Drosophila melanogaster: one gene and its partner. The protein of the gene in region 1 interacts with the protein of each later gene in a pairwise test. Each region holds a gene or a part of one and is shown on either strand. Other genes may lie near its edges. The genes, in order: Acp62F and CG5866.

Region 1 (2,998 bases):
CACGAAAATTGAGAAAACTTTTGCCGTGCAATTTGCACGTCAACATTTTCCCAAAACACCGAAAAAAGTAATACTAATGGCAGGCACAACAATATTTTCGGCAGCGTCGGCGGTCAAGTTTGTGTTGTGATGTTGCATGGATGCCTCCAGTGGCCATACCCTTCCCCCAAATCGGCGAAACCAAGGACATTCAATATGGGAACGAGGTGAGAAACGATTAGACAAGGCCTCGTTAGCTGGAGATTACAGTGAACACAGTTGAAATTCCACATTTGGAAATACCCTTCAAATCCTATACTCAGATATTTGAGTTTCAAAAGATCACTCTAGTATGAATATATCTTTTTTAAATAGCACTCAGTTATGAAGTGCAAATTGAATGTTACAATTCTTAAAATACTCCTGGTTTTCATTTGCGAAAGTGCACTGTAATTCTTACTAAACATAAATGACATCTCACTCTCGAATGGATTCCCATCGATTGGCCACAAAGGAAACTCACCTGCAAAGATACAAAAAGAAAAAATAATTAGCAATAAAGCCAGCGAGCATAGACGAATGTAATTTGTCTAAGCAGAATCAGAATTCAGAAGCCGAATGGGAGGAAGAACGATTTTCTTTTGGTTGCCACAAGAACAAGACTGTGAGCTTGTGTGTGGGTTGTCAACTGATTGCGCATACGCCGCGTTGGTCAACGCACTTTCCAAGGCTGCGAAAACGCGAAAGCAGCTGCAGCGCGCTAGTCGCTAATCATAATTTTTGATCTACAAACTAATTAGTGTTCGCACGAGTGTGATTGCAATTTATTGGACACCAATTGAGACGAAAGCGCGCATTTTCATTCATAAACATGGCAAAATACGGGGACCAGAGCGAAAAAAGGGAACTCAATTTATTAATTGCTAGCAAATGTTGGGCGTGTGTTGCAAGAGTTTTGCCTTTGCGATCGCAATTGCGATTGCATTAGCCATATTGCAATTATGTCGTCATGTCCGCGTCGCCGCCAAAGTTCAAAGTTGCAGAATCTTTAGAACATAAAAGTTTTTCGCACGTTCCGCACATGGTGGTGAAGAGCAAGGAGGGCCGGAGGGAGGAGGCAGTCACTGTGCGCCGAGAATTATTCATGGCGCATATTTCAGCGGTTTGGCAATAGCCCCCCACCTTCCACACCCCCTCCCAAGAGGCGAAATAAATAATTGCAAATATTATTGGCCACTCAGCGCATGCCAACAATAAGAACTGCAAAAATAGCCAGCGAAATTTGCAGTTCGCATAGTTTCGCAATAAGTCGGCGGCAATGATGACTCAAGAGTGCAAAACCAAATATTATAGCCATATAAAAAATATGTGGGAAATTATGCATCTTGGCATGGCACTTGGGCATCCCGATGCGATGAACTGAAATCTGACAGGTTGAGGAGGTACTCCTGGGTCTGGTTATTCTAGTCATGATGGGCTAGTCAATTGGCAGGATTCGCGTCTCTATTCAATTGGCCGAACCGTTTCAAAACTATTTCAAGGCTTTAGGCCAAAACGAATCAATTTGAAACACAATATTCGTTTTTGACAGTGATTAAGCGAAAATAATCGCTGGTGGGAAGTAAATCAAAGTGGCTACACTTATAGTACTTAATCGTTTAATTAGGCTGTAAAATGTTCTACAATCTACAATCTGCTGCCAAAAAGCATTTATTTTATACTAGGATCAACGAAAACTAAATATATTTCCCTCACTGACGCGCCTTTGTTTTAAGTAACATAATACACTATTTTTTTTTTTTTAAGATTTATTGTCTTTCCATTGATATCTGCAAGTCACACAAATGGTATAATGGTCTGAAACAAAATCGCGTAGCAAATCTAATTTCAATTTCTATACTAAAATATCAGACGGATGGAAATAAATAGGGCGCACACATCAGGGTAAAATGGTAGACGTATTCCCCATCTACAATGACGGACATGTGGAGCTTGAAGATCTGTGCCTGTCTGGGCCTTCTATTACTTTTCAAACCCATCGACTCCATGGGATGGCAAGGACCTAAAGTTGACTGTACGGCCAACGGAACTCAGACGGAGTGTCCTGTAGCATGTCCTGAAACCTGCGAGTACTCCGGCAATGGACCCTGCGTCAAGATGTGCGGAGCTCCTTGTGTGTGTAAGCCGGGATATGTTATCAATGAGAGGATTCCGGCCTGTGTTCTGCGATCCGATTGCCCAAAAGATGTTGTTCGAAAGGAAGATATGCTACTGGGTGTATCGAACTTTAAGTGCTTTAGCAGAAATTACAACTGTTCATAGAAATTTATTAGGAAGGCAGCTAAACTTTAAACTAAATTACAATAAAATGTAAATAAATGTGTAGTAAATTACAAGCTATAATTACAAGATAATTACAAATAGTAAAAGAAATCCGAAATGTTAGTTGCACTAATTACGTAACTGGAACGAAGTTGCATAGCAAATATAATTTGTATTGCTGTACTAGCAACCTATAAGAATACTTTCGAAATCTTCATTCCACCTGCTGCCCAGTTTTCCAGCCAAGTCCTGCCCACTTCTCATTTGCCCGAAATGCCACTGCAAATGTGGCGGTGCAACTGTTACCAGGCGGCTGGTTGTGTTTGTGACCGCCATGTGCCCACTGGCAGCCACAGAAGCGCACGTCACCCGCACATACAGTCATGACCATTACAATGGCTATTAAGAGAAAGAAAACGCATTTCTTGGCAAGCGGTCTCGTGTGCTACGGGTCATTTGGGCGGAACTATGTGACTGCAATTGGGGGACACAGAAAAATGGGGATTTCAGCACCAATCCATGCGAAACGCGGAACACATTCGATATGGTAATCACATCGGAAATTTCACTGTGAATTATTTAGAACTGTGTTATTCCTACATGCTTTTCGAGCTGAACAATAAATGCACAGAATGAATACTTTGTATTTGCTGGCCAGATTAGGCGCGGTGATGCATGGTGCTGCAATTGGGATTTA
Region 2 (3,332 bases), on another chromosome or scaffold:
ATGTATATATAAGTGGAGGTGGCAAACGATCTGTTCAGTTCATTCCAAAACTTCGAGGCCTTTAAACATGAATTTCTCTCTATATATTTGCCTTTTGCTGTGTGTGGCTTTGAGCCAAGTTAGGGGTAACTGTTCAGGCGAATGTCCGGATACGGAGGAAGTTGTTTGGGCTCTTGGAGGAGGTTGCAATGTTTTCCGGAATAAGTGTTATTTCGACAAGGAGAACTGCCATCGAAAGCCAGGTGAGCAGTTTCTTATTACAACTTAATAAGAATTAATCAAACGAATATTATGTTGATTATATAAAAGCCTTGACCATAACGACAAAGAGGGAGTGTCAGAAGCAATGCGCCGACATTTGTACAGCCATCTACCAGCCCACAACTGGAATCTACAAGGGCGAAGTCCTAAACTTTGGTAACGAATGTGAAAAACGGGCTCACACCTGTCGTACTGGCCAGAGTGAGTTAAACTACATGTTTAGATATTACAGTTGACTTATTTCCCTTTATTCAATTTTACAGCTTTTTTGTAAGCCACGCAGAATGTTTTAAGCGTGAACGAAAGTAAATGAACTTTTACACCTAAATCTATTAGTTGTTTTTATCTATTAGGGCTCTTTGGGGCCTCAAGCATGAAACCAAATATCGAAGTCGTGTTTGCGTAACAAACAGCCAACAAGTCACGTAGAAATCAAGCGAGTGCGCTGAATAATATAAAAGTGTTTTAGTCACACCCAGTTTAAAAGATATGGTAAAAAACTATTGTTTAATAATAATAATTTTTAAAATTCGCTTTAACATAATATTATAAATATGTAATCCGTATAAATTTCATTTTGTTTGTGTTATATAAAAATGTACATTTATATAATATATGGCTCAGTATAAATATTATTCATCCTATTAATGGAATAGCACATATTTCGTATCTTATTATATTATATTAAATATTATTTAAACTAATTAAAGATAGAAAAGCGTAACTCCATGCATGTCCAATATAATTCACTAAAATTATCCACTTCTGTTGACCACGTGACGTTTGCTTTGGGGTTTTAGAGTTACAATTACCTAACTTCAATTAACTAATATAATTACAACAGAATAATACAGTAGCTTAATTACTTACATATTATTTGTGAAGTCCGCGAGATAGATTTAGTAGCACTTTGTAAACAAATAAATCTAAATAGATATATATCTTCTTCAGTGATCCCTTTCTTAACAGGAACTTAACATTTTATTTTAATATGAAACGTGAATAAAAAGCTGAAGAAATATGGTCACAATTCCAGTTTATGAGATTATTTATATTTTGGGTCACACATTTTAAAATAAGTTTTAGGTACATAACAGTTAAAACACTTGTATACCTAACATTAGTCGTTTCCAAGTAATCACACCTGTTAAATACACACATTGTAAAATAGTTTACTTTTAATATTCCGTGACTCTAAACTACACGTCCAGTCACACAGTCTTTACTAGAATCAGTTGAGAATTATAGGGCAAAATCAAAATAAAAATATTAAAAGACCATTATATTTAAGACCATTTGTAAAGATGTAAGCATGCGAATGGGTTCAGTCAACTCGGGTTGACCTGAGGGTTTAGAATTCAGAGCTCTAGGTAAAGAAACTCCCGAGTTGAACGTTCCTAGCCTGCATATACCACAAGGTTGTGATTTATGCCCTGCTTGAGAGTATTTATATTATTTAATTAGCTGCCCACTAGTGATGCTATTGCGGTGCTTATCTTTTAATTAATTTCTAATTAAAATGGGTTTCTTATTAAGTTTAAATTATTGGACTCGGTTTCTATTGTGCTCTGGGTATAAAACCGAAAAGGTTCCTGTGAATCAGCATCAGTTGAAGAAAATATGGCTCTGCGTTTCGTTTTCTTGCTGAGTGCTTGGATGGTCCTTGCCCAAGGATCCTTTCTGCGCAGATCGGATATTATTATCTTAGAAGCGAAGGTTCCCCAGAAAGGATATCTGCCTGTCGAAGATGCTTCAGTGCATCAAATCGTTCCTAACGAGTCATTGTCTGCAGGAAAAGAACATCAACATCAACGAGTACATCTGTATCAATTTCAATCGCATCCTCACGAGCACGGACCCCATTATCACCTAGAAGGGCACCATCACCTATCTGAGCCCCACCATCATCATCAGTTGTCTGAATCGCATGATCCTATCCACGGATCCCCTCAGCACCACTATCATGGTTCACATCCTAACCAACAACTCGAGGCACCATTTCAAGAAGTTCATGGATCCCACCATCAGCATCCAATCCACCACAACCATCTGGAGGCACCATATCACGGAACTCATGGTGTTCATCATCATCGCAACTGCCACGCCACCATCCATTGCCCCAGGGTTCATAGTCCAGCTTATGCCACCGATGGTCATCTCTGCTACAGGGTGGAGAACTCCTGCGCACTGGCCGTTTTGAACTGCCTGCGTCGCAATGAACTTAAGCCAGGTTGGTTATAAACATATCTAAAACATTTTCACAAATGATATTATTGTTTAATTGCAGTTTTGAGACACATCGGTCATCACGAATGCCATCGTCTGCCCAGCGCTTACAGGGCCCACTAATTCTAAGCTCAAGATAACTAAATATAAATATAAATATTTATATAAATATAGATATAAATATCTAATATAATATCCTAAGTTGTATTGTTTTCTTTTTCTGAAATATAATATTGTCAAATGAAATAATTTTGTTGTTGTCGGTGTTGTGTGTACTATTTACATAAATCTGGTTGTCCTATGTATGATAATCTTATGCATAAACCTATATTCGGAAGCCTAGATCTTTTAAATCTTTAAAGATAGAAGGTATTTAAAGATATGGTATCATTTACCATATATATAAAACAAAAAAGGCTAGCCTCCCCTCAGGTCCTCCTCATATTAATATCAGGGCCATTTTATGCCAATCGAAACAACTGTAACTTATTAAATAGATAACAAATTAAAATGCATTACAAAACAATCAATATTAAATGCCTTAGTAGATTTTCTCGACTATTAGATACCCATTACTCGTTGCCATTTAAGAATAAACGCCTTAGTCGATTTTCTCGACTATTAGATACCCATCAGTCGTTGAAGTCTGGCTTCAGATATAGATCCTATTCTGCATACATAATGGACGGACGGACGGAAATGTTGGCACGATCAACAAAATATATACTACAAAATGATTGAAAATTTGCTGTTTTAAACTAATCTAGTATTGTTTTGTGGTACATTAAATATTCGAATTTATCAAGTAATGGACTTCAAATATAATAATACATTTTAAAAATTTG

What was found.
Region 2: the proteins of Acp62F (region 1) and CG5866 interact in a two-hybrid assay, tested with the Drosophila melanogaster proteins (one large-scale study listed by BioGRID).

The regions. Positions count from the first base shown.
Region 1 is NT_037436.4:2,737,820-2,740,817, forward strand, and holds Acp62F (accessory gland protein 62F), read left to right. Parts: upstream 1-1,930; 5' UTR 1,931-1,953; coding exon 1,954-2,301; 3' UTR 2,302-2,409; downstream 2,410-2,998.
Region 2 is NT_033777.3:17,413,865-17,417,196, forward strand, and holds CG5866 (uncharacterized protein), read left to right. Parts: upstream 1-1,874; 5' UTR 1,875-1,881; coding exon 1,882-2,491; intron 2,492-2,548; coding exon 2,549-2,610; 3' UTR 2,611-2,641; downstream 2,642-3,332. Other genes in the region: CG42822 (uncharacterized protein), read left to right, coding at 68-242, 310-462, 525-535.